Oryzias latipes: one gene and its partners. Each later gene encodes a partner of the first gene's protein in a complex. Links are inferred from orthologs where the notes say so. Each region holds a gene or a part of one and is shown in the gene's direction. Other genes may lie near its edges.

What was found.
Region 2: snrpd1 (region 1) and gemin4 share a complex: the UniProt entries of both Homo sapiens proteins name them as parts of the SMN-Sm complex. The link is inferred for Oryzias latipes from reciprocal best matches to the Homo sapiens genes SNRPD1 and GEMIN4.
Region 3: snrpd1 (region 1) and gpkow share a complex: the UniProt entries of both Homo sapiens proteins name them as parts of the minor spliceosome. The link is inferred for Oryzias latipes from reciprocal best matches to the Homo sapiens genes SNRPD1 and GPKOW.
Region 4: snrpd1 (region 1) and gemin2 share a complex: the UniProt entries of both Homo sapiens proteins name them as parts of the SMN-Sm complex. The link is inferred for Oryzias latipes from reciprocal best matches to the Homo sapiens genes SNRPD1 and GEMIN2.
Region 5: snrpd1 (region 1) and cwc15 share a complex: the UniProt entries of both Homo sapiens proteins name them as parts of the minor spliceosome. The link is inferred for Oryzias latipes from reciprocal best matches to the Homo sapiens genes SNRPD1 and CWC15.
Region 6: snrpd1 (region 1) and usp39 share a complex: the UniProt entries of both Homo sapiens proteins name them as parts of the U4/U6-U5 tri-snRNP complex. The link is inferred for Oryzias latipes from reciprocal best matches to the Homo sapiens genes SNRPD1 and USP39.
Region 7: snrpd1 (region 1) and snrnp40 share a complex: the UniProt entries of both Homo sapiens proteins name them as parts of the U4/U6-U5 tri-snRNP complex. The link is inferred for Oryzias latipes from reciprocal best matches to the Homo sapiens genes SNRPD1 and SNRNP40.

The regions. Positions count from the first base shown.
Region 1 is NC_019869.2:22,965,507-22,969,548, reverse strand, and holds snrpd1 (small nuclear ribonucleoprotein Sm D1), read left to right. Parts: upstream 1-1,242; 5' UTR 1,243-1,374; coding exon 1,375-1,388; intron 1,389-2,792; coding exon 2,793-2,869; intron 2,870-2,944; coding exon 2,945-3,136; intron 3,137-3,342; coding exon 3,343-3,419; 3' UTR 3,420-3,991; downstream 3,992-4,042. UniProt on the Homo sapiens protein: Plays a role in pre-mRNA splicing as a core component of the spliceosomal U1, U2, U4 and U5 small nuclear ribonucleoproteins (snRNPs), the building blocks of the spliceosome.
Region 2 is NC_019871.2:19,886,887-19,891,178, forward strand, and holds the start of gemin4 (gem-associated protein 4), read left to right. Parts: upstream 1-1,492; 5' UTR 1,493-1,563; coding exon 1,564-1,651; exon of another isoform or gene 1,652-1,703; coding exon of another isoform or gene 1,704-1,713; intron 1,714-2,425; coding exon 2,426-4,292. Other genes in the region: tapasin-related protein, read right to left, coding at 127-456, 539-814, 885-1,061, 1,168-1,213. UniProt on the Homo sapiens protein: The SMN complex catalyzes the assembly of small nuclear ribonucleoproteins (snRNPs), the building blocks of the spliceosome, and thereby plays an important role in the splicing of cellular pre-mRNAs.
Region 3 is NC_019865.2:21,312,264-21,314,891, forward strand, and holds part of gpkow (G-patch domain and KOW motifs-containing protein), read left to right. Parts: intron 1-474; coding exon 475-581; intron 582-2,176; coding exon 2,177-2,381; intron 2,382-2,470; coding exon 2,471-2,603; intron 2,604-2,628. UniProt on the Homo sapiens protein: RNA-binding protein involved in pre-mRNA splicing. As a component of the minor spliceosome, involved in the splicing of U12-type introns in pre-mRNAs.
Region 4 is NC_019880.2:19,643,435-19,647,398, reverse strand, and holds the start of gemin2 (gem-associated protein 2), read left to right. Parts: upstream 1-1,164; 5' UTR 1,165-1,296; coding exon 1,297-1,418; intron 1,419-2,322; exon of another isoform or gene 2,323-2,337; coding exon 2,338-2,422; intron 2,423-2,551; coding exon 2,552-2,641; intron 2,642-2,725; coding exon 2,726-2,785; intron 2,786-2,866; coding exon 2,867-2,983; intron 2,984-3,964. Other genes in the region: transport and Golgi organization protein 1 homolog, read right to left, coding at 346-479, 622-742. UniProt on the Homo sapiens protein: The SMN complex catalyzes the assembly of small nuclear ribonucleoproteins (snRNPs), the building blocks of the spliceosome, and thereby plays an important role in the splicing of cellular pre-mRNAs.
Region 5 is NC_019872.2:16,000,765-16,004,853, reverse strand, and holds the start of cwc15 (spliceosome-associated protein CWC15 homolog), read left to right. Parts: upstream 1-1,289; 5' UTR 1,290-1,389; intron 1,390-1,745; exon of another isoform or gene 1,746-1,748; 5' UTR 1,749-1,755; coding exon 1,756-1,886; intron 1,887-2,689; coding exon 2,690-2,802; intron 2,803-2,910; coding exon 2,911-3,011; intron 3,012-3,872; coding exon 3,873-3,983; intron 3,984-4,089. UniProt on the Homo sapiens protein: Involved in pre-mRNA splicing as component of the spliceosome. Component of the PRP19-CDC5L complex that forms an integral part of the spliceosome and is required for activating pre-mRNA splicing.
Region 6 is NC_019867.2:12,332,968-12,337,025, forward strand, and holds the start of usp39 (U4/U6.U5 tri-snRNP-associated protein 2), read left to right. Parts: upstream 1-1,258; 5' UTR 1,259-1,373; coding exon 1,374-1,431; intron 1,432-1,742; coding exon 1,743-1,821; intron 1,822-1,897; coding exon 1,898-1,992; intron 1,993-2,079; coding exon 2,080-2,216; intron 2,217-2,747; coding exon 2,748-2,900; intron 2,901-2,985; coding exon 2,986-3,211; intron 3,212-3,806; coding exon 3,807-3,881; intron 3,882-4,056; coding exon 4,057-4,058. Other genes in the region: c9h2orf68 (UPF0561 protein C2orf68 homolog), read right to left, coding at 1-27, 826-935.
Region 7 is NC_019869.2:21,982,921-21,987,006, reverse strand, and holds the start of snrnp40 (U5 small nuclear ribonucleoprotein 40 kDa protein), read left to right. Parts: upstream 1-1,286; 5' UTR 1,287-1,412; coding exon 1,413-1,523; intron 1,524-2,773; coding exon 2,774-2,903; intron 2,904-2,981; coding exon 2,982-3,075; intron 3,076-3,326; coding exon 3,327-3,492; intron 3,493-3,606; coding exon 3,607-3,729; intron 3,730-4,086. UniProt on the Homo sapiens protein: Required for pre-mRNA splicing as component of the activated spliceosome. Component of the U5 small nuclear ribonucleoprotein (snRNP) complex and the U4/U6-U5 tri-snRNP complex, building blocks of the spliceosome.

The DNA.
Region 1 (4,042 bases):
TCTTTTTTATTATACAGCATTTATTATCCCTGAATGGGAAGTTTGTATTTTTGTTTTTTTGCAGTCGTGCTACACTCATCAGGCAGCATGCAGAGGACATGTTTGGGGGTTTTTCAGCATTTTCACGTTTGGACTGATGGTGAATGTTGTGGTGGCATTTGTTCTCCACACTGTTTGATTAAATCCTCCCTCCACAAATACCTTCTTTTTTCTTTTTTTTTAAATACAACAATTTGCACTTTCTTTAGGTTTCACTTGATACATTCCCAGCTTGTCTCAATAAATAAAAAGTATTGCTGTTTGGCCAAAACTCTAAATGAAATATCAATGCAAAGTTTACTCTCAATAAAAAGATCTGAAAGTTTGCTCCTTTGTTCTTTTTGTCTTCTTTCCTAGATCAATGGTTCCCAGCTTTTTGTGTATTTTGTAAGGATGTAAAGGATACAGTTACGTATTGAAAATTGATCAAGTACTGGAAGTAACAGCTCTATCAATCGATAACCTTAAATACGAGCAAGTTGGTGAAAAGGTAAAAAAATGAAATCAATCAGGAAGTAAATCGTTATTTTTTTTTCTTTTCTGTCTTTACTGTCTTTGCCTTTTTATGTACATGTGATGCCAACATGAAGACACCCAATCACAAAGCCTACTTCTACCAAATCGGGTCAATTATGATTGGCTGAATGTGAACCACAGTGTGCTGTGTTCTCTTTTTTCACGGTACTGCAAACAATGCCTGAATAAATTCCTATGACAATTTTTTGATCATAAATAAAAACAGAACAGTATTCGTAGTTGAAGCAGTTCTCTCAGAGATGTTTTGTTTTTGTTGCTTCAAAAAAAGGGCCAATAAGAACAAAATTTAAGAAAAAAGTTTCTCTGTTAAATGGCATTTCCATTAATAATTTTAAATGCCAAATACATAAATAGAAATCTATGAATAAATGACTGGTACTTTATTTTTTAGCACCATACAATGGCATCAGGGTGCCAAAGGGCTTACATTAACATAACATTTAAAATTGAGTAGATTGAGAGGGGAAAAAAACAGCATTAGATGGAAAAAACAATAAAACACATAGAAAAACAGTTAATAATTAAAGTAATTGGTAAGTAATTAAATAAAGACAGTAAAGGAATATTAGATGCCACCAACCCAATGAGTAAGAGAAAACAACTCATTTTTGTCTTTCCACTGACTGTTCTTCATCTCACCACCAGGCGGCGGTAAGACAACATTGACGGTGAGCGGTGGCCTCTTTCTGACGTCATATCAACGCGACACAAACGTTGGTGGTACATCAGCGGCCTGTGATTTCACTCGATCGCTGTAATTTTTCTCGTCGGTGGAGGATCTTTTCTCTACTGTTCGTCATGAAACTAGTCAGGTAATTTGCTGCATGGTCTGTAGATGTGTCGACTGGTTTAAGATAGGATGATGAAATAAAGGCTGTGTGGCCGGATGGGTTCAGATAGACAAATGAACTGTGTGGAGAGGCGGGAACAAGGCTGCTGGGTTTTCATTCAAAAAATACATATAAACATATCATTAGAGCTAACTATTTAATCAAGGATTAAACTGCTTGTTTTAGCAATATTTGTAAAAGATCGAGGCTGATTCGTTATCATTTATGGTTTTGCAAATTTCCCCCCGCATTATTAAAACTATCGTACTAAAGGAGGTTAATTTATTAGATGTTGTTTCCGTTTCCTCAAAGTGCTTTATCATTATTTAATTGTATTTATTTTTGGATGTTTTTAATTTCCACAACTTAAGAGACAAATGTTTTGTTTTCAGTTTACACAACAGTATCAATCCACCGAAGCTAACAAGCTAAGAGCTAACACGAGTTTTGTTTAGATACTAAAAAAAAAATACATTCAAAAAGGGGGGGGGGGGTATTTTGTACAATTTTATACGTTAAATCTTATGTGTTGTACAAAAATGCTGTCTAATGTTTGTGAGAGAGAGACGTCTTCTTTGTGCAAAGCAGTAAGTTGGCTAATTGATCATTCAAGATGGATCTAGTCATTAAAGTCTTCTACAGCAATGGTGCCAACCTTCTAATAAAGCGGTTTTTTATTGTATTTAATTTATCAAAATATTTTTATGATTAACAGAAAACGTTACCAACAATTATTTCTAACAAAAAGTCCGCATAAATGTTCATACAAAACATTAAAAAATGTGAATCTGAAAATGGAGTTTAAAGTCTTCCATTTTATCCAGTATGTATGGGATCAAATGCAGTTTTTGTATGAAATGGTGCATATCACAGTATGTTTATTTCCCTCGTTTTTTTTATGTTTGACATTTTGTTTATTTCATTTGTATTTTGTGAATATGAACAGACATAAAAATGATGCTTTTAATTTGTTAAAGTCCACCAATCAATTATTGATTAACATTTTCCTGTTCTAGTTCTGCTTAAAGGTCAGCATGTTATTAGTGTATTTTTTTTCATGGTATTGTCACTTTAAAACATTGACGTTTAAATGAAAGTGCCTTTTGGATTCAGAAAACCAAAATGAATGTGCCAATTCTAGGTTTTTGAAAAATACACTTTTGAGTAAGAATAAAACACGTGAACCTTTTTTGTTTCATGTGGGATGACAATAAATCATGTTTTTTTTTTTTTTGCGAAAATGATTCTTTCCCTGAAGTGTAGATACATTATACTGGTACTGCTTTTTGATTACAAAATGGTATGTTTGGTAAAGTATAGTGCAGTAAAACAACTCTTAAAGGTTAAGTAAATGTAAATGTATGCTACTCTCCCGTGTCCACACAGGTTTTTGATGAAGCTCAGTCATGAGACCGTTACCATTGAACTGAAGAATGGCACTCAGGTCCATGGCACCATCACAGGTGAGAGCAAACACTTTAGAGACGAATAAATGAACTAAATCATTTTTAAAATCCTCTTCTTCTTCTTTTTAATAGGTGTTGATGTAAGCATGAACACACACTTGAAGGCGGTGAAAATGACCCTAAAGAACAGGGAACCCACTCAGCTGGAGTCCCTGAGTATCCGAGGCAACAACATTCGCTACTTCATCCTGCCAGACAGTCTTCCACTGGACACCTTGCTGGTCGACATTGAACCAAAGATCAAGTCCAAGAAGAGAGAAGCAGGTGGGAGATTTGGGCACATTCTTACCTGGAAAATTGTATTAAGTTGAGAAGGATTTTTCTGCGATAAGAAATCCCTCAACAGTATTTATATTCATCATGGGTGTGTAAATCTGCTGTTTATTTCTTTGAGAAATGTTTTGTTCTGCTGATTAAAACTTTTTTTTTTCACGAGTATGGTGAAAGAATCTGGCCTTTCTTGTTCTCAGTTGCTGGTAGGGGGCGAGGCAGAGGACGGGGCCGTGGCAGAGGAAGAGGACGAGGGCGAGGTGGACCACGGAGATGATTTCAGAGCCCCAACTGTTTGTACAGCTTTTAATTGTACTGCGCGGTGGACGCAAAGTGAATCTAAGTGTAAGTTTAGGGTTGTTTTTCTTTTTTATACTCGTGGGTTGTTTAAGACCGCGAGGGGGTTTTGGATGCTGTTGATTCATAATTTGTACCATCTTGAATAAAATGTCTGAGCAGCATTTAAACTGGGTAAAAATGTCATCTGTTTTTTGCTTTTTTTATACCTTCTTGTGTCTTTGGCAAAGTTGGCTGAAAATGTAGCTGTTCTACTGGCATCAAAGAAGAATAAATCTTTTTTTTTCTCTTTGTAATATTTGGCTCTTTAATTGGCTTGATTAGTTTTCACTTTTCCTATAAGTGATTGAAATAGGTTGATAAGGTTTTTTTTCACAGTTTCTGGAACTGATTACATCTCAACTTATTGTTGATGATGTTCCAGATACTGCTGATCCACCTCTGGTGGATGGTGTGGATGTTGATGACTGCAAATGTAAAAACCTTTTGTCCAATACTTAGATGGGCTGGCTCTTAACCCACATAAGTTTCCAATAAAATAAAGAAAATCCACTTTGAATTTTGACATCATTGTAAAAACTTATGTTTGTTATTGAAGATCTC
Region 2 (4,292 bases), on another chromosome or scaffold:
TCTTCTAGCCTTAAGAGGCTGAAGAAGAGGAACAGATGTTTTCAGCTGGATCACCAACACTGTAGCAGTGCGACCGCTGATGGTAAAAGAAGAGGACAGATTACAGGTTTTAGATCATCTCCTCACCCTCGACGTGCAGGTTGAGCTCCATGTTGGCGAAAAGCGGGTTCACAGTCAAAGAACAAATGTAGCTTCCTTCGCTGCTCATCTTGGTGAAGGGGAGAGTGTAGGAGGCATCTCCCCCAGCCAGGGCCTTCTTCCCAACTCCAGAGCCATGAATCTCCCCGGAGCGGCTGTTGTAGCGGAAGAGCATCCTTCTCTCTCCGCGGGACTGCCAGTGCCACTCCACGGTGACGTTTGGGCCTCGGTGGTCGATGCTGAACTGACAGTGGAGTTTGGGCTGCGAGCGTAGTCTGACTTTCACAGATGGAGTCTCTGTTTTCAGCAACATGGCGACTATGGACACAAATAGGATGAACCCTCTTACAGGCCTTCGTTCTGACATGCAGAAGCAGCGTCAGATGAAGGGGACACCTACCTGTGGTGGTAAGAACCTCTCGGTCGGCGATGGGCGGCCAGCTGCGGTAGTCCTGCTGTCCTGGAGGAGGTTGGTCAGACGGATGTCTGAGGAAAGCAGTGACGCTGAACTTGTCCTTTCTGTGTCTGAGGATGCAGGTGTACCAGCGGTTGTACCCCTCTGCCCCCAGGGCGGGCCAGCGGACATGGATGCCCTCTGTGCTGTACCGTCGGACCTCACACTCCAACTCCTCTACCTCCACCCCTTCAATGGACCGCTGCAGGTCCAGTTTTGAAACTAAAGCAACATAAAAAGTCATGAATGTAATTCTTTCCTGCCCCGATTCGTGTCTTGGACAGAAGCTCACCAGTGATCAGGAAGGTGATGGCGTGGGGATTGACAGGAGCGTCTCCTTTTAGACCAAACTGAACCATAGCCTCTCTGGGAATGAGCTGTGTCTCAATGTGTCCTTCACTGTTGTTGGACACATGTTCGTCAGTGAACTGACATGACAGCCATGGTATCTGCTGAACGCTCCTCACAACTGAGAACACAGAAAAACTAACATTAAACACACCCTTCATTTAAATTTAGTTCCTTTCATGAACTAACTGATAGAACAGCTGCAAACATACTTTAAAATAACTTACCTCCAATCACATAAAAGTAAATAACAACTTTCTGAAATACTCCCATTTTGATTATTCAATTGAATTTCTTGGTTCACCTTGTTTCTACCAGCAGCCAGGATCTAAAAAGTACTTTCATTTTCACTTCTGCAGAAAAAAAACGATTTGCCTTTAGCTCGCGTCACATGACCTACAAGATTAAAACCATAACAAAAAAAAAACATTTTTATATATATTCATAAACACAATAACAAATGAAATGACGTTTAAATCTGATGTAAAATATTTAAATCTCGCTCCGAAGAAAAACGTTAAAACTGCAGTACCGAATTTATCCGGGTGCGTCGCTGTGAACAAACATCCGGTATATGCGTCGCATGGCGGAAGCGTGTTTGCGGCTGCGCAGTTCTGCTGTGGATGTTTTTAGTTGGATTATGTTGTTTCAGAAATCTAACTTTAAACTTCGGAAACCGTGAACGTAACGGCGCGTTTAGAGAGTTTCCAGGTAAACGGATTACACTGGTATTTACCTGCACGCAACAATTATCACGGTGATAATGGACAAAGGTAAAATAGCTTTTATTTTTACTCTCTCTGTAGACCAGTTAAGTCACTGACTTTAAGTTAAAATAAATTCTTACAAAAGAAAATATTATTTAATAAAGAAAAGCAATGTTTTTTAATTTAAATTGTTTTTCCAACACACGACGCATTCATACCGATTTACACACGCGGTGAACCGCTTTGAATTGTGGGAAACTGAGTTTGGTGTGGTAAAATGAATGACATATGGATCCCCTGAAGGGATTTGGCAAAAGGTGAATAACAACAAGATCTACACTGATCCTGACATAAAGACGAACGCACACAAACACTCACACATTAAACACAATAAAAACTATATGGCTCTGTCCATGAAAACTGAGTTATTTATTGGAGATCATATCTGAAAGTTGAGAAGAAGCTTTGGTGTTTTTATCTGTGGATACGGTGGCCCTGAAGTTCAAATCACATCCACAAATTACTGTTTTAAAACATCACACAGCAGTCCTGGAATGCAAAAACAAAATTGTTTTTGCAATTCTTGTTTCTTACTGCATATTTGAATGAAAACTTGACACCCCACCCCACCCCCCGCTTTAATTTTGTTTAGATTTATCAAATGTAACGTTTTCTTGTTATTTTATTGCTTTTGTTGTTGTTATCTTTAAGATGTCTTTACATTGATATGATGATGTGATTGGCACTTCAGGGCTCTGATTATGTCATGTGATTTCAGGCTCTGCGGTTCTGCAGGGGGCTTTCCTGCTGGCAGACAAACTGTGTCGCCCCTCATTTCTATCCTGCGTGAACAAATCCGACTGGATCGCGGCGGGACGCCCGATCCTACAGGCTCTGCAGGAAGTCTGTGAACTGGAGGAAGCTGACGGTCATCACAGCTCGACCTGGACGAAGAAGGTGGTCTGTGCTGTGTGGCTGAAGCTCTTGAGCGCTGAGGAGGATGTTGAGAGAGCGTGGAGGGAGAACCCCTTTTTTTCCTTCCAGCAGAGCCTCCCTGAAGTTAACCATGTTGTCCTGTTGGAGTTGGTGAAGAACGCTGCTGCTTCACATGTTTACGCAGGTTTTCTCCTTCATCTTCCTGAAGATTTGATCTGCTTGGAGCTGAAGAGGCTGGTAGAGCATGTGAAGAGCGAGCCTACAAGCGAAGAGGATGTTCATTTCTTTCTAGAGATGTGGCGGGAGCTGTGGAAAGGCCAAGAGCAAGCCAAGCTCAGAAACGACGAGAGCATGGAGATGATGTTTGCCAAGCAGGTTGCTCGTCTCACCTCCATGTCTTCTAGTTTGTCTCCTCAGGCTGCCAAGAGGTTAAAGCTGGAGACACAAGACTCAGCAGAGGCTGATGTTTTCCACATTCTCCTCAATGCCCTCAAAGACATGGCAGATCACGTCTCCTCATTAGACCTGTGCTTCCAGTCTCTCTCCATGTCCCTTGATGCTCTTTTTACATCATTTCTGATAGACCGAGAAGTTGTTCTATCAGCTCAGGAGAAGATGGACATCCTGTGTAAAGCCATCAGTACTAAAGGAAAGAATGAAAAACTTCAACCTGAACTTGTTGAAGAAGCTCAGAGACATTTACGGGCTTCGATTTCCCCGTCTCAGTTCAAAGTCAGGAGGATGGATCTGGGTGAAGCTCTGAGGGTCATAGCAGAACTTAGTCAGTCTTGGAAAGACCGAGGACTCTTGGACGTCCAGGACGGCTCTCGCTCCTCCTACTCTGCTTTCCAGCTGGAGCAAAGTGTCCAGAGAGTCTCCACTGCTCTGGAAGAAGCTCCCACAGCAGCGACAGAGAAGAACCTGCTCGTGGCTGTGCTGAAGTCTCTGGTTCTTCCTGTCACAGAGAGCAGCCCTGAGGTGCATGCTCAGGTGCTCTCCACCATCATCACTCACCGCCTGGAAGACCACGAGAGCTTCGCTGCCTTGTTTGCCAGAGAGCCGCCCTGGACGCACTGTGATGAAGGCTGGATGGATTGCCTGGAGAGGAGCCAAGCTTCCTTCCGTCAGCATGACGCCGTGATCGGCCTCTCCTCTACTCTAATGAACAAACTACGCATGGAGAATGCAGACGTCAGCCAGTGCAGAAAGCTGATGAAAATCATAGCAGATATCTTCTCCAGCCTTTCCTTAGAAGACATGAACAAAGCCTTGGTGTCCATGTTAAGATTGTCTAGGAAGGGCTTCTTCGAATTCCCCGTTCCTCCTGAGGTGGCTGGAGGGTTTGAGCAGGAGCTCAACATGGCCTTCAACTGCATCATCCAAGCAGGAAGTGGAGCGTCCTCAGCTGTTCCTCAAGGGAACCTGACCACGGCCGTCTCACTCGTAGCCAGAGTGGCTTTTCAGAACCCAGAAGGCGCCTTACGGTCCTGCTGCCACTCAGCTGTTTTCAATAAAGGAGCATTTTCGATGATGGCAAAGATCCTGCAGCATCTGCCTGGACTCAGCGGTCAGAGAGGAGGAGATGGAGATGGAAGGAGGAGCGGAGAGGAGAACACGGCTAAAGACGGGACCTCTAGTCTGCTCTGCAGGTGCCTACACCAGACGGTCAAGGACAAGTCCCTGTCAGCCAACGAGAAGGAACAGTTTGC
Region 3 (2,628 bases), on another chromosome or scaffold:
GACTTTGTCCGGGCAGGCCTCTGTGGGAGACTGGCAACGCTGCTTTATCTGCCCCCACCCAGATACACGCAGGCAGCCAGTCAGATCTCCTTCTGCTTCCTTTAATCAGAGGCCTGGCACGTCTCTTCACTGTCATCCCATGTCTTGCTCCATCGTGTGAGCGGCAGATCATGGGGGTCATGAGCCCCGCAGCTCTTTTTTAATGCGGCCTCCTGAATGAGAGAGATCTCCCAGTCAATCTGTGAGGAAAGCCTTGAGTGGGGACAGCGATGAGTGGGAGCGCTGCAGAGATCGGCGCGGCTTCAGTCAGCCGGCGTCGAGTCCCCGAAACCAAAAGGCTGAGTGACACGGACGTTACAGCCTGCCTCCCTCCATCAGCCGCCATCTTTAAACCTTGAGCAGTACACAAACCTCCCATTTAGATCTTCCTTGCTCGTTATTTTGGTAAACATTTCCAGCTTTGTTGTTTTTAAGTCTACAGAGGCAGACTATGAAAGCGTTCCAGTGGAGGCTTACGGACTGGCCATGCTCAAAGGGATGGGTTGGAAGAAAAGTGAAGGCATTGGGCGCACCTTTAAACAGTAAGTGACGGCTGGCTTTACCCCCTGATCTAACATAGACTTTCGGAATGATGTCATTCGTAGATTATTTTATCTTAATTTATGACTAAAAGTGATTTGAATACCACATGTTCTCATTCTTTCTCAGTTCAAAGCTTTTATAGATCAATGGAGAACATCACATCCTTCCTAGTGTTTAAGGAAGTCCTGTTCTCCCAGTTTTTCCTCATTATCCAGCAAAATTCCATAATCTAGACCAGGGGTCAGTGACATTGATGACATGAAGTGCCAATGTGAACTCTTCTCCGTAACAACGGTGCCATCACCAACTCTAGTACAAAGAAACACAAAAAGATCTCCAAAATATCTGAAATGTTGTTTAATGCACAAACAGCAGGTTAAATTGCTTTTTAAACATATTTTTGGCATTAACCCAAAAAAGTGCTTTTACCCAAGGACTCGCACTGGATAAAGCTCATCGCTCCCTCTGGGAATCGAACATGTCCCAGTCCTGCACCTAACTAGCCCATCGAACCAGCCTTCATACATGTAAAAAGAAAAAAACACTTACAATTTTTAAGTAGAAATACAATTAATTAAAATGTATGCATACATTTGATTGGAAAACGAGTTATTTCAAGAAAAAAAAGATCTCTTTGTTGATTTATTGAGATGCTCATATCATTTTACCCGTGGTTAGTCTGCCTGTAGCGCGTCTGTCTTGAACTATTTGAACAGAGAAATGCTTTGAAACATTTGACGCATGCAGAATGTTGTTTTAACTCAGAATTCTCTTAAAATGATCGTTTTGGTGACTGCTCGGAGAACCTTATCTTCATCATATTTTGACATCTTGCTGGCTCAGCAGGTTACACATCCCCACGCGTTTGCACCAATGCAAACTTTAAGCCGTGTGCTAAAAATAAGTAGGTCGGCCGAGCTTCCCCGTAAGCTGTTAAGCTGGACCAATGTGGTGTTAGATGTTTGCAAAGATAGCCGGAGGAGACATTATTTGTTAATTGGGTCGTCACTTCCTCTCATTGTTTGGGATTTCGGGTGTTTTCATTGAGTCGCTCCTCACGCCCGCCGGAGCTGGGGAGGAGACGGAGAACACGGAGGTTTCAAAGCAGAACTTTGTGGAAGGAGGAAAAGTGAGCTGCTGTACGTTTCTGGGCTTCAGCATTCAAGCATCCGTTTCTGCTCAGCTCCTCAGCAGCTTCTAGTTAGAGTTAGACACTTTTCTTCATGCAAAGTGATACGATATTTTTCCTTGACTTGATAACATTTTGACTTTCCCAGCGGGCCCAAGAAATGTCTTTGACCTTTTTGGAATGTCTGAAGCTTTTTAGCAAAATGAGAAGAAGGAAGAAAAAAACTACTAAATTGTTGATACACTTTTTGCCTTCTGTAATAAATTGGATATCAGATGCAACGTATGAAATTACAATAAGAAAGACAACAGAAAGCAAGTTTTAACATGATCAAATCTTCGGCTTGCTGCATCATATAGTTGAGTTTAATTTTGTCATCAAACCTCAGGTTTTTGATTCAGTTTTTCATCTGTTTAACCTTCAGTCTGTTGTTGATCGAAGGCTGATTTTCTCTGTCTGCTTCAGAGACGTGAAGCCAATCGAACACCAGCTCCGCCCGAAAGGCCTGGGCCTCGGAGCGGATCGCTCGGCCATAAAAGATCTGGAACCCAACCGGAATCAGCGTCCGCCGAAACCCGGAGACGAGCCGGGAAAGGAGGAGGAGCTAGTGATGGGTCCTGGAGGTTGTGTGCTGGTGGAGTCTGGAGCACACAAAGATCTCTATGGCAAGGTGGAGTTCAGCATTCCACGTCACTGCCACCCTTAAGCAATTATGTTTTTCCTTTACACCAACCGCTCTGACTTTCCCTGACGCGGCAGATTGAAGGCGTCGATGCAGACAACGCTCGAGTGGTTGTGAAGCTCGCCGTCGGGGGCAAGACTGTGACACTCAGCCAACACGGCGTGAGACTGGTCGGACGAAAAGAATACGACAAATACAGCAAAGACATCAGTGAGTGTCCTTTCTCAGCTGCATG
Region 4 (3,964 bases), on another chromosome or scaffold:
TCAAAATCTAATTCATATTTAACAGGTCAAAAACACAAAAATTAGATTAGATTCAATATTATTGTCATTGCGTGAGTACAAGAACAGGCATCAAAATATTAAATTCTAACAGAATTTTCAAATTAGTTTAAACATGACTATATTTAAACATTCAAAATAAAACTCTTCCATCCAACGGTTAAATGAAAGTCAAAGATGTCAGCATCCCAAATAAACACTAAGGCTTTTTGTATAATAAGGAATATTGTTTTGTTCAACCAAAGACCTTGGATAAGGGACAATTTACATTAAGGTTTCATGATAAGGAGGCGACAGAGATATAAAAGAGATGAAAATTGGACATACACTGCCTGCCCACAGATCCTCCCTCTTTCCTGTAAGTTTGTGGTAGACAAAAATGATATCTCCACGTCTGAAGCTTAGAAAACGGCAGTCGTTACTCTTGTGGTCCCTTATGGCCTGAACCCTGCTCATTAGGCCTACACACACAAACACAAGTGATCAGTTGCATTAAAATGATTAAAATGTCTTTAATAAACCAACTAAGCTAAATTCATGCATAAAATATAACAGTATTTTTTAGGAACTTCAAACTATTTTGACACAAGTGTTTGGACTTACTTTCACACTCAGAATCTCCACAGATCTTGTAGTCGGATAACATTCCTGGATTTATAAGAGGCAAAATCACAAACGTTAGACCCACAATCCAACAGAATTTATGTAGCAGGGAAACATCCATTTTGGGTGCTTTAGCTGGAGTGTATCATAGAAAAAGTCCCATATTTGAGAAGAAATCCCTTTGACCTGCTGTTCAGGAAAGTGGACATTGACTCTGTGCTGTTTCTCTCATGAAACCTCACTAGTGGTAAACGAAAGAATGGAGATAAGATATAACGCTAGCATGAAGCTAATAATTAACAACGTTGCTCGTAACCTGATTGCAGAACAAAACAATTTAGCTCTAATGTCAAAAGTTTATTTTTTTCATTCACCAACTTGATTTGAAATTTTTTTATTTATTAAACAGCTTCTGCGGTTGAATTGAGGTATAATAAACGTGTTTAAATGCGCAACATAAAATGCTCGTGGACTTCGTTCCTTGTCGCTGCCAAAGTTTCAGGCGCTGTCACGTCACTATGGAAACAAATCTCGCCTCGCGCACAAAATTGGCGTCATCAAATCTAGTTTGAAAAACAAAATGGCGCTTGTTGGACAACAGTAAATACTAGCATCTGCCTAGTCTTCGTTTTAATGTCCTGATTTCGCTTAAGAGTTTTACATTATTAGCGGAAAATGAAGTCGGATGTTGAGGAGTTAATGCCAAGGCTGCTTCCGGTGGAGTTAGGACAAGACACCGAGCACGTAGACCTCAGCGGTCCACCGAGGAACCCCCAGGAGTACTTGCGACAGGTCCAGTAAGTTCTCCCTTCTGTTCTCATTAAAGTGGAAAGCCAGTGTTTTCATAATTAAAATGCTTTAGAATAGCAAAGCATTGGTATAAAAAAAATTGTATAAAACCAAAGTTCCTATTTACAGTCTATGTATCGAACCGTGGAATTAGCTCTCCACTTAGTATATTTAAGTGTTTCTGTTGTTTCTTTTCAACAAACTTTATTATCAATACTTATTGTATTAACTGAATAGAATAATATAGGTAAAAGAAAACACTACACAGGTTGCACAACACGTGCCACCTGTACTTTAATAATCAGTCCAGTCCAATTATTTTTGAACATAGAATATAAGTAAATAAAATATAATATGCCGTTTCTTTAAAATATCAAATGTTCTTGTCGCCTTCAATATGGACTGCTTATATGTATGAATGAGGAATGTCCCAAAAATAATGAACAGTTCAGTAACAAAACTTACCTTTTTGGGCAAACCATGTAATTAAAAATATAATATGACATTAAAAAAAGAATTCAGAGAGTTATATTAAATTTTGTGGTTATAAATTCACGCAGATCCGACCAAAATTGCTTGGTGTACATAGAAAGAATAAATAAATGAAAATTGTCTCCTTACTTGATTGGCAAAAAACAAAATTGTTCTGTTTATTTTAAATCTTCTTAGTGTATCTTTAACTGGGTAGAAAGCAAAATAAAACCTATTTTATTTTAATATTAATACAGTATTTATGAACAGAAGTATTAGTCTTTTCCCAATTTAAATCACCCATGGTTGAATACCAAAAAGATTTAGCAGCAAGAAATTCAACTTCTTCTAATAAAAAGATTATTGATTTCAACATCTGTGAATGACTCGTTTTAGAAATTGAAGAGAAGATATTAGCTGTGTTTCCCAGTGACCCCTCACCTCCTTGTGATGTAGGTTGGAAGCGTCCATGTGTCCAGAGGTGGTGGTTGCTCAAATTGACCCTAAGAAACTAAAGAAGAAGCAAACAGTCCATGTATCTGTAAGTGAAAATCTATTTATTTGGTCAAATCTTTATTTGTTAAGGCTTTGTCTGTGTGGTGAGGTCATGTATAGTTGACTCTGCAGCCAAGAGACATGATAATCTGGAAAACCATATTTTCTGTCTCAGGTAGCTGGGTGCCACGCTCCCCCAGTAGGTTTCTCCCCCAGCCTTCACTGGCAACAACAACAAGTCAGTAATTTTTCTGACGTGAGACGGGTAAGAAAAACTAAAAGAACAGTGTGTTGCTTTTATATCTCACTTATATTTCTGCTTATAATGTCTAATTTTTTAATTTACTAGAGCATCACCAAGAATAGAAAACATTGGAGCAGCCAGACTCTGGATAATAATGTACGCATGGTAAGATGTCAAATCCCGCTGCAATGTTAGCAAAGGTCAAAGGTGCTCATTTGCATAATATTTAAGTGTGATCTTTTACAGCCAAACCTTACAGATGAGGAGGGCTGGAAGAAGTTTTGTTTAGGAGAGAGGATCTACTTGGGCGCATCAGCCTGCCCCACAGATGCAAAACCAGAGGCAGAACTGGACTATAGCAAGGTTGTCAACTAAACTGTTGTTAGAATTTTTAAACGCCAAAGTTTTGAAACAAAAAGTTTCAAATAAGACTTTTTTTCTTTTTTGTTAACTTGTTCTGTCCAACAGCTGAGCAAACAGATCAGAGCTGAAGGCCTCTTGTGTTTGAGAGATTTTACTGTTACAATAGGGGGTCATGAATCTTCTGACACACAAGGGGTATATTTATTTAAACTCTTCTGTATTTGAGGGTAAACTTTATTTATATTGATTATGTTTGTATACCTGTTTTGAAAAGGGAAAAGGGGGGGGGGGTTAAAGGAAGTTGGAGCATGATCAAAGAAGTAGAGTGGGGGTAGATTCAGAATCATAAAGCAAAAAGTTGCTGGAGGTTTATCATTATTACTGTCAGATTAAGGCATTAGTCAAAAGGAGCTAACAGGTATGTTACAAACATACCTGTGTGAAATCTTCACATTCCATATGTCAACACATACACGATACAACTACAGCTCACACAAAAATACTTATGCATACATAAAGAGAGAGGAGCCAAGAAAGCACACCAACTTGACCGAGGCAGTTTGACCAGCCAGGGCTCTCCATGATTGTCTCATTGCTGACCCCAACCCTCTGTAGTCCCATCCTGATGGAGGACCCCCTTCCCAGAGGACAGAGCCAACCAGTCTACCAGCCCCCCCCCCCCCCCCCCCCCCCCCCCCCCCCCCCAGATCCTGCAGCCATGGCAGGTGTCACCCAGAGCAACTGCAAACCCCAAGAGGGTTGCCCCACCCCGTCCCAGGACCAGAAGAGTGCAGAGGTGCAGGCCCAGGGTCTCCTGCACCTGGGCCTGCACCTCCTCCTCCTGTCCTAACCCCCCCTGAAAAGACCACTCCCCAAGCCAAGCCAGACCCCCTCAACCGCACCGACCAAACTCTCCCAAGACCATGCAGTACCCCCACCTGCCCACTTCCAGGCGCCCAACCAGGTCCCCCTAACTAACGA
Region 5 (4,089 bases), on another chromosome or scaffold:
GATCCAAATGGAACTCTGGTATGAACACCTCTTGCATTTGTTAGAGTAAGCATGCTGAGGTCAGAACATAGCTGGCTCTTCCAGCATAGCAATCATTCCAAACACACTAAAAATGAAGCTTTTTTTTTTTAACAAAAAGTTGGTAAAATGTCTGCAAACAGGTGCAGAATTCTAATTGAAAGGCACAGAAAACAAAATATGAAGTTTAAGTTACCAATACTTTGTCCAGTCATTTCACTAGTTAATTATTGTACAAAAATTCCAGAGTTATGCCTGATTTTCATTAAATTATTTATAAATTGATTAATACTTTTGTCATTTCTCAGACATTTCTTAAAACATTGGAGGGGAGGGACAAGTTTGGTGCAATCCAAATATTGTTCAGTATTAAGGGGAAAAGGGGCAAATCATGTTCTCTCTTCTCCCTTTCATTTAAGAGTGTATTTTTGAGCCTAAGAGGTGTTTTAGATTTGTATTTTCACAATTATGTATTGATATATCTTTGGAAAAGAATAAAATAAACTCATCAAACTTAAACAGCAAACACTGAACAAATATAAACCAGTGTTTCTGTAGTTGAAGTTAAAGCCAAAGGCAGCAAAGAGTCCAACGGCACAAATCCAGAGAAACATCCTTTTAAAGAGGAAGGCATATTATCTGAGAAGAACATCTCAAAACCTAAGGATGAAGACTCATCAGGTCTAAAATGGAAAAAGACAGGAATTTTACATCTGTTACAAGTGTTTCAATTATGTTTAATAGAATCTACGTATCAAGACTGTTAAATAAAGTTAAAAATAATGTGTTCAATTTGGAATAAACTATATTTAAAAATCATGTTGTGATGTTAATGTTCACTTTGAGTGGAGAAATTAAGCTACAGGAAGACACTGAACCTGATGCACATTGCCCCATGGTGGCCACGTAAAATGTTTTGCAAACCCTAATCGCACATTTCTACAGTAATTCTACCGGTTACTTCAAAAGAAGAGACAAGATGACTCCTCGTAAACACTTCCTTGTTTACACCAGTGCTCAAAGGTTTTATATGTTTTTCATTTTAAATGTGAGTGTTGGTTTGCTGAAATCAGTAATAGACATTTTTGGCTGTAATGCTTTAGAATTCAACCATGTACCCTGGAATATCACCACAGCATTTTGAAAAAGAAAGGTGTAACAAAGCATTTTTGTGCTAATTCTTTCTCCTTTGGTACAATATAGTAATTTCTTTACGATAAATATCAGATTACATTTGAAATGAGTAATGCATTTTCCAATTCTTTTTAAACGCACCAACAGAATCGTATTCTTGACGCATGCGCAACAGCAATTTCAATCCGGAAGTGACGTTCTATGGTATCCTCTTTCCGCTAGCCGTGTAGTGGAATCGTGAGTATTTTTTCCAAGTCAAAGACGTTTTTTTACAGATGTTTTTTTGTTAAAACGGTATAAATATGATAAATGTAGCCATACATCTCGTTTGATTAGTGTGCAGTGAATCTTAAAACAAATAAGTTTTCTAAAGAGCCCAAAATGAGTTTTTTGTCTTGTCTGAGTGTTAGCATAATCAAATTTGGTGGCTAGTAATACCCTTTATAAGTATTAAAGTCTGTTTAATCGATAAATGTATGTATATGTTTTGTTATATACAACTGATGTTACCTTGTTTGTTCTGCGTTTAAAGTACAGTAGCTAACTGAAAATAACTGTACTCATGTTTGACAAATACCGTGTTGTTGTTGAAGCAGGTTAGGGATGACTACCGCAGCAAGACCAACGTTTGAGCCGGCGAGAGGAGGGAGAGGAAAAGGAGAAGGCGATCTGAGTGCCTTGTCCAAGCAATATTCCAGCCGAGATCTTCCAGGTCACACCAAGATCAAATACAGGTGGTTTTTAGTTCCTATTAAACTCTGCTGCGACAGCTCAGTTGAAAAAGAAAGCGATTGTTTGAAAGAAACATATTTAATCATGTTAAGATTCTCGAAGATTCAATCTGAATTATTTGGGAAATGGTCAAACCGGATTGATTAAATTAGTCTTTTTGTGCTATAATTATTAAAAAGTGGAACATAAATCTACACTTGATTAAATGTCTACATGTATAATGTGTTGGGTACAATTAAGCTAACCTCACGTTGGAGCATCACATGAATCAGTTTATGACATGGGGGGGGGGGGGGGCATGTGTGCATTTTCTTGTCTATTTAGTGTCTCTCCATGACCCTTAAGAAAATGTTAAATAATTTGCTCACAAATATCTTGCATCTAATAAGTCATTGCTCAGTATTAAAATGGTTATCAACTAAATTGTATAACCATAAAGCTTTTGTACATTTGGAGTACATCATTTAGTATTGATAATTCTTGATGGTTTGTTTGCTGCAGGTTATGTTTAAATTGTAGCTACAGTGTGTAGGAGGGGTGGTTTGCATTTACCAATTGTGCAAGTTCTACAAAAAATATTTTTACAATTTTCGCTATATATTTTTTTTTAATATGCATTCAATCTCTCACAGTTGTAGTGTATATGATGGAATCATAGACCTCTCATCTTTTTAAATTAGACAATTTGCTAAATATGTTACTGAGAAATACTTTTTCCCCCAACTGTACATGTTACTATTTATCTCATGAGTGGTTTTTGGAGTTTGTAGTGGGACTTAGTCTTGAAAATGCTATGATCCCTTAGACAGCCCACTCAGGATGCCCCCGAGGAGGTGCGTGCCCGTGATTTCCGTAGGGAACTGGAGGAGAAGGAGCGTGTAGCAGCACGTGAGAAGACCAGAGAGAGGGGACCAAGAGGTTAGTCTCTATCAAAATTTTAGACTTACTGTTTTTGACACACAAGTATAAACCAAGCAAAGTATGTATTTTTCTGTAAATGCAGTCTTTACATTTTTTTCTCTCCAGAACACACTACATCCTCTTCATCATCTTCATCATCATCAAAGAGGCCCAGGTTGGATCAGATTCCAGCTGCTAACCTTGATGCTGATGACCCTCTCACTGATGTAAGTGTCTGCACTGATATAATAAAGAAAACATTTCATCAGTACACCTACGGCTGGGAGATGAGACCTTTTCTCGCTGTTGCACTTGACATGATCTGAATAGATATTGATATTTTAGTGCTATAAAACTTTCTCTTTAAAGACTGTAAATATTAAAATTAGCAATAAAATGCCTGGATTGACTTAATTGGGGAAAAATCACTGTAAAGTTGACTTTTAACAAACAATTTCTTTTGTACAACTTCTCTGCTTTGGACACATTAAACTTGAAACATCCCAGATGGTTCATTTGTGGTTAATTTTAGCTGATCAGACCACCTAAAAGAACAATTGTGGGTAAACTTAAAACTTAGTTTTTTCATTCAAGAAAAAAAATGTACACAAAATTTAAAAAGTGTGGCAAACAAACTTGATTTAAATATGACCGTTGTTCCTCCTCTGGAAAAATTGAGCAGACTGGGGCTCTCCAAATGCCAGGCTGGTGTATTTAAAGGCTAAACTCCCTGCATTGCCTCTTATGGTCGGTCCCACAGTACAGCTCCTGAAGCTGAACCTCATCCACATCTACAGCTACCAGCAACACATCCAGCACTGGTACCTCCAACAAGGTGGCATTAGTTAAACTGATAACTGTAGCTGACTTAAAAGTGTCCAAGTGTGCACACTACAAATAAAGACTGATGTACTCTCTTGTAAATGTCTTTTATTGAGAATACGTCTGAAAATGTCAACTTATTTAAAAGTCATTAAACAGTGGAAAAGAACGTCAGCAGTGCATGGGGGCTGTCACCATTCTGCCATAGTTGTGCTGCATGAGGCCATTGCAGCCTTAATCCTCTCTAAAATCCTTCCTCTTCACAGGATGACGAGGATGAGAACTCTGATGAAGATAGTGATGATGACGACACTGCAGCTCTGTTGGCTGAGCTTGAGAAGATAAAGAAGGAGCGAGCCGAAGAGCAAGAACGCAAAGTAAAACATTTGATCCATTTTGTTTTGGTACCTCTGTGTTTACAGTCAGCAGCATGACTTTGTTCAAACACAATGTTTTAATAATCAAGGAAAAATATGATTCTTG
Region 6 (4,058 bases), on another chromosome or scaffold:
TGCTTCACTTCTTTATCATAGTCATCTCTTATAAAGAAATTGAAATATTTTCTGATTATTTCTTAAAAACATAGCAAGTTGCACAGTTGAATAAAACACAGAGCATCTTGGTCATGGCCATGAACTTAAAAATGTTCCTAGGTCTGTTTACACATTGGAGGATAATACTTTTTTTAAAATTTTATTATTTTAAGGCAAAACAGCTTTGTTTTTCATACATCAAAGCAATTTAAAGAGCCGCACAACAAAGCAACATTATTATTGCTGTTCTTTTAGCTTTATAGTTCATCTTTCAAAGTTGCCTAAATAAAATCAACATGTTAAAAATCCGTTTTAAATGATTAAATAAAGAGTGAGAGTGTGGGAATTAAAACAAACTTTTTTGTTTGGACGTAAATCAAAATACTTATCATACATTATTGTAGCAGCTTTTTTTAAGACCAGACAGAGAGCAGATGCTGTAAAACAGCCCAACTCAGCGTATGTAATTTATCAAGGAGGAACTTTAAAAGTTTTACACACCAAACCTAAGTTTATATAATAATCCACTTTTAAATAATAAATTACACTAATAAAACATAAACCGAATAACTTAATGCTCCTTTTAAAATTTCAGTCAGTCCAATAGGGTTTTGCTTCTACTGCTTTAAAGTAAAAATAAACTTGACTTTAAGCCTTTTAGGTACTTTAAAAAAATGTTATTTCACTGTCTGCCATTTTTAAAAAAATCATTTCACATCAATCATGAAATGACAGCAGCTACAGATTGACATTTGACATCCCAAGTAAGTATGCTAACTCGGCTAACAGCAAAAAGGAAATCACCTGGCAATCTGGTTCCTCCGAATATGATGAAGGAAACCGTGGCTCATGTCCAGACGGCCCCCCGGTTTGTACTTCAGCTCATGCACTCCTTCATCTCTTATAAGATCCATTTCAGCAAACACTCTAGAAAGAAAACACAGCTAAAGAAGAACAAGCAAAATACTAACAAAAAGCTAGACAGCTAACGATGTATAAATGGATGTCCAACCGTAGCGTTCCCGGAGTTTCTACAAATTAATTTATTGCGTGTAAGTCCTACAATGCACATTGAACTAAAATATAAACTATTTTGGTTATATTTCTGTGACAAAAAAAGAAACTGAAGTATACAAATAAATAAAATATATTACTTAGAGTTTACATGGGGGTAAACATTTATTTTTTAAACTCCGGGTTACGTTTTGGTTTCCCACGCCATTACCACCGACGTACAACCACCGCGAGTTTCGAGGAGCTGAATAATATCCATTCATTTCCTCTCGTAAACCTTCAAGTTTTGTTAATTTTTGTTTCGTTAGCAAACCGTTTGCTAACTTATAGTTACAAGAATGTCTTTAAAGCGTGAAAGGGAGGAAATAGAAGACGACGAGGATAACGAAGACGAAGGTATGCTGATTTGTCTCTTACGTCCGTTTTTCGTTTTGTTAGCCAGCCAGAAGAGCATTTTCTAGCATAAAAAGTTTATATTGTGTCAGTTCCATTCTACACCAATAAACTGATGGTTTCACATGTAAGACAAAGACAATCAGCATATAAAAATATATGTAAAACCTGTTTATTTTAAAACAGAGATCGATTAATAGAAAAATCTTAGCTTGCTAGCAAGCATGTTTTGATTGCTAGTAGTTAGTTGTTCTCGTAAAAATGAATTCCGTTTACGTCTACTGAGCTTTATCGTGATTTGCTCTCTTTTGCAGTGACAGTCAAATTTAGGCGAGGACGTGTGGTTGAAGACCGAAGAAGCCGCCATTGTCCTTACCTGGACACCATAAACAGGCAAGGAAATGTTTGAAAATGTATGCTAAAGCTAGTTAGCATTCTTCTTGTAATTCAGTTTCTTCTCGTCTTGCAGGAGTGTTCTGGATTTTGACTTTGAGAAGCTCTGCTCCATTTCTCTGTCTCACATTAATGTTTATGCCTGTCTTATTTGTGGGAAATACTTTCAAGGTAGACATATTAGCACATCAAACGCACATTGTTATTTTCCTTTTTAGATGACACTAAACATCTTTACGTTTGCATTCCTTGTTGCAGGCAGAGGTCAGAAGTCTCATGCCTACACTCACAGTGTCCAGTTTTCTCACCATGTGTTCCTCAACTTGCACACACTCAAGTTTTACTGTCTGCCAGACAACTATGAGATCATTGACTCATCGCTAGAAGACATCACAGTAAGTAATGCAGTAAATCTGCTGTTTTTCAATGTATAAATGAAAAGGTAATTGCTCTGGGGGGAAAAGTAAACAGTTACATGTTAAAATTAAACAAAGTTTTTTGTTTTTCTTCTAGATATGATTGATAGATTCTTTTGCTCACATTCCTTGTTTGTCAGTGTAACACTTCAATAGTTTTCATTAACATATTCTGTGTTTAAAAATAGTTTTAACTTGTGAACCCAGAGTACATAAAAATGTGTTCGATATTTATATATTTTATACAAGGCCAATGTATTTGATTGCATAGTATATTTTATTTACTATATTTTGCACATAAGTATCAGTACTAGTATCTAAAAATAAGTTATTTAGCAATGTCTTAAAGTATACTTTTTAGAGTTTTGGCTGTAATTTTAATACGTCTTTTTTTTTTACATTTCTTTTTTAAATTTTTAATGTTTTATGTTAAGTAATTTTTACCCCTCCTTTTTTTATTTTTTGTAAGCTCTTGCTTTGTGTTGGTAATCTTGCTCTTTTTTTCTTTAGTATGTGCTGAAGCCGACTTTCACCAAGCAGCACATTGAGGGTCTGGACAAACATGGTAAACTGTACAGAGCCTACGATGGTACAACCTACCTGCCAGGGATTGTAGGGCTTAATAACATTAAAGCCAACGACTATGCCAATGCTGTACTACAGGTATGAAACCCCGCTGATGTTGATTTTTGAGGCTGTGGCATCAACTTAAATAACAGGGGGTTTCATATTGTACTTTTGTTTTTAGGCTTTTTCCAACGTCCCACCTTTGCGAAACTACTTCCTTGAGGAGGAGAACTACAGAGACATCCGGAGGCCACCAGGGGACATCATGTTTCTGCTGGTGCAGCGGTTTGGGGAGCTGATGCGCAAACTTTGGAATCCGAGAAACTTCAAGGCCCACGTGTCGCCCCACGAGATGCTGCAGGCTGTAGTCCTGTGCAGCAAGAAAAACTTCCAAATCACCAAACAAGGTAACTATTTTGTGGCCTGTGGAGTGCTGACATAAATAGGGCCATGTAGGCTGAGATTTTGGGCAAAAACCTCATTCCATCAATGAGAGCACTAAAGATGAAACATGGCTGGATCTTCCAACATGACTGATCCCAAAAACATAACTCTGGCATCAAAGAGAATCTGTGGAGGGAGTTTAAAGTATGTTTCTCAGCAAAAGCCTCAAAACATTACAGCTCTGCATGGAAGAATGGTCCAGAATAATAGCTATAGTGTTTGTAAACCTGCTTAAGACCTATGTTTGACCTTTGTCATAGATAATCATGGTTACATTACAAACTATTGAGGTGAACTTTTGTTGTTGACCAAATTCTTATTTTCTGCACTATTATACAAATACATTCTCTAAAAATCTGACAATGTGATTTCCTGGATAATTTATTGGACATTTTATCTCTCAGTTGAAGTATATCTATGGTAAACATTACAGACCAAACTCAGCTTTTTGAGCGGGACAACTTGCAGAGTCAGTGGCTGCCAAATACTTTTTTGCCCCACAATCTTTAACTCACTGGATAAGTTTGTAGAGTTTGCTCAATGTTTTCTGGTTTGCAGGTGATGCTGTGGACTTCATGACATGGTTCCTAAACGCCATGCATGGCGCTCTTGGAGGCACAAAGAAGAAGCCATGTGAGTCAGAAATTCACTCCTAGTTTATAGTAAATCTGTTGAATTTCTGAATTCATTTATTTGATGTGTAATTTTCTCTTTTATTCCAATGTAAGGAGTCTATTTTAGAGCCAGTGCTGGTTGTCTGCATGCAATGTCCTTCAATTTAACTGGTCTGCTCTTTGTTTTCACACAGCA
Region 7 (4,086 bases), about 980 kb from region 1:
CAAACTACTCTAGTTTTGAGATTTTGGTACCCACAAGTGAGGAGGTGCTCTGCCACAGTCATAAGTACCTGTTTAGAATCGGTATGTGCCAACTTTATACCAGTACTGTTTCCCAAAACCAAGTAGTTGCATTGTCTGGTACAAGCTGAAGCTGGTATACAAACTGGAGACCAGGTTTTTTATGTAACTAGAGATGATAACAGTAAAGTGAGTTTTCAGAGAAAACCCCTGGATGTTTCCTCAATCAGTCAGCACTAAGGTGGCATACATTGCCTTGTACAGATCTGCGGTCAGGGCTGCACTGTGACAAAGTGGTTAGCGCTTTACTCTAAATCTGTGCATGCGTGGGTTTTCTCCAGGAGATCCGGCTTCCTCCCACCATCCAAAAACATGCGAGTGGCCGGGTAAGGCTCTGACAGCCCCATGACCCCGAAAGGGACAAAACGGGTTTACAAAATGGATAGATTTGCCATCAGTGTTTATGCCCAGACAATTCAGAGAGCAGAGACCTTGAGGTGAAAACTTGCAATCCCTTTATCTTCGTGGTTTCCGACCAAACTCTTCCCTTTAAGACAACTTACTGCCTCTCTTAGATTTCTACATAATTTGGGAGAGGAAATGAAACAGCAATCTTCTTTCATCCAATTCACCAAACGAAAGTCATAAAAGAAAATGAATTAATTTCAAAGGTAATGTGGTTGACAGAAAGAGTTCGGTAAATTTTTAACCTCTGCTGTGCTGTTCACTTCTTGCAAATAAAGAATGACCTTGTGCCTTTTGGGATATTTATTTGTACAAATATGTGGTTGAAAATGAAAATTGTCATTCGTGTCATTTTAAACTACGATGAAGCCAACCTGTCGCAATAAAGCATTAACTTCCCGGTACCAAAGAAATATAATTACTAATTTTATTTATGTAAAAATTAGCTCAAAGTTGTTGTTTTTTAATAATCGAGCGAACAAAAAATCTAAGTTGACAACAAGACAAGTCAGCAATGAATTTGGTTAGCTTATAATTTCGTCCTCTTACGGTTTGTACCGTCAGTTCAAAGACAAAAGCTCAGACATGAACAGTATAGGCGTTTGTCGTGGTAGAACGATAAGGAAAATCACGCAAAAAGTATCTTAAGTCTTGAAAAAAGGATGAAAATATTACCTTTCGTGTGGTTAGCTGAACTCAGATTGTTGTACTTCCGGTGCATTGTCGCTGACAACGTCTTCATCAGCCAATCACAGCAGGAGATGGATGTTTAAACCAATCACACAGCTCATACTCACCGGAAACACTTCATCCTGATTTCTTCGTTGGTGCTACGCTTTTCTCGTTTCCCATGAAGGCGCAAATAGTCATTCGGTAAACCGTAGTCACAAACAAACTTATTTTTGTCGATTATTTGCAATTATTTCGGGATGATTGAACCAAAGAAAAGAGCGGGAGACATGGCGGTAATTCCCACCGCTGTGAAGCGAGCCCGGAACGAGCTGGTGGCGGCGGCACAGTCCCAGCAACTCGTGGCTACGGTACGAAAAGAATCAACGTTCACACAAAAAAACTCAAATTAGAGAAAATATATACACACGGGTGTTGACCCGCATTTGTATTATGCATGCTTTAAATGATGTAATCTAAAATTTACTCAAACACGACATTTTTTGTGGTGCACCTATTATTTCTTGACGTAGAGAACACATGACAACGAATAACAACACGAGTTTTCGCTAGGATATTTAATTTTTGGATGTAATGTTGCTTCTTTAAAATACGTATTATATTCGAAATCCCGTTGTTATCAACAAACTGATGGTAAAGGAACCTTTCCCAGTTATGGGTGTTTCCGGGGTGAACCGTGAACAGGTTACAAATCCTAGGCTAATGTTATGATAGAAAATTAAAAAATGTTATTTTTTTTATTAAGCATGAGTTTTGTGTATTTAAACCTTTTCCAGTTTGTAGATGTTTTTCTGTAAGTAGATATTTTGATTATTGAGACAAAACTATAGGATATTTAACAGGATAGATACTAAATCTTTTTTTTCTATTGTAAAAAATAAATAGCTTTTAAACACTGGGGTTTCATTTTAGCAATCATCTTTTGATGTTGCAAAAATCTGCATGACATATCACCTGCAACAGTCACATTCACAGTCACCCATGCACACACACATTCACACACTGATGGCGGTTTCGCTCTCTTACTGGCGCCAAACTATAACCACCAGAAGCAATGTGGGGTTCAGTGTCCTGCCCAAGGACATTTCCACACATGGGTGGGCAAGGCGGGAACCTAACCTGCGATATTCATGATCAGGTGGACCGCTCTGCCTCTGCACCACAAGCCCCTGCATGGAAAGTGTGCCACCATAGGGTGCAGAGGCAGAGCGGTCCACCTGATCACAAATATCGCAGGTTAGGTTCCCGCCTTGCCCACCCATTTGTGGAACCTAACCTGCGATATTTGTGATCAGGTGGACCGCTCTGCCTCTGCACCACAAGCCCCTGCATGGAAAGTGTGCCACCATAGGGTGGCAAGATCCTTTGTGTCACATGATCAATTTGATCCTTTACAAATGATCCATTTCCTCACTGGTCTGCTGCAGATTTGCATTAAACTTTGTGGACTTTACTCTGAAGCGTTCTGTGGCACATTAAGCCCAAACGCACTTTTATTTATCTGTCTTTTATCACATGCCTGTTTTCTTTTTAGATTTCACTTGGACTAAATCTGGAAGAAAAAAACAGAAAGTAAATTAAACTGACCTTTCTCCTCCAGGGTCCTCCTCGGACCTCCAGCCTGCAAGCTCCCATCATGCTGATGTCGGGCCACGAGGGCGAGGTGTACTGCTGCAAATTTCATCCAAATGGAGCCACGCTGGCGTCTTCTGGCTTCGACCGACTCATATGTAAGCAAAAAGAGGCAAGCTGCCGTTCTCCCGGCCTTCTTCTGTTGCTTTGTTCCTCACTTACTTCCTTTACCTCAGTTCTGTGGAACGTTTTTGGGGAGTGTGAAAATTACGCCACCCTGAAGGGCCACAGTGGAGCTGTGATGGAGCTGCATTACAACACAGATGGCAGGTAGGAAGAAAGCTGTAGATTTTATCTTTAAACTTCACCTTTAAATTGACATTTTTCTTGTTTTAGGTTATGTTTACAGTGAAAGTAAAGCTCATATTCTCATTGTTTCTTAGTCTTAGTTTGATTTCAAAAACTAAGGAACTTTATGGAACAAAAAAAATGTTCATCTGTAAATTTTAGGACTTGGAACTATCTACATTTCTTAAATAACCTTTCCATAAAATTTGACTGGATCATTTTTGTGCCTCCAGCTTGTTATTTTCGGCAAGCACAGACAAGACCGTGGGCATTTGGGACAGTGAAACAGGGGAGAGGATTAAGCGCCTGAAAGGTCACACTTCCTTTGTTAACACCTGCTACCCAGCTCGCCGGGGGCCACAACTGGTCTGCACCGGCAGCGATGATGGGACGATAAAGGTGTGACATTTTTATTTTAGGTGCAGTTATTTATTCTGAATGCTTCAACTGTTGAGGTCCCATTCAAAGTTTTTAAATGTTGCTTTATTGTATTTTTGTTAATCGTCACTGCAGTTGTGGGACATCCGTAAAAAGGCGGCAATTCACACCTTCCAGAACACCTACCAAGTTTTGGCCGTGACGTTTAATGACACCAGCGACCAAATCCTGTCTGGAGGCATCGACAATGACATCAAGGTATTTGGATTGTTCTAAAAAAAACAACAACCAGCAGAGTGTCCTTGGTTTTGTTTTGTAAGATTAACAGGAAGTCTGAAATCTCAGCTGCTACGTGGCTCTACTGTAGATGGCAAGAAAAAAGTTTGACATTTTATAAAAACTCAGTGTTTAAGGTAAAAACTTTCTGACATTTTGAAAGAAAAAAGAAATCAGTGATTTAGTTGTTTTCAATCCGTTTTAAATAACACATTTTATTAGTCTGCCATAAAGCTTAAATCAACGTTTTATCATGTGTTTGCCTTCATTTAAATGCACCAAATAATCTGATTCTACTTAGATAAAGACTAACATGTGAAAAAAAAAATTTCGGTTTCA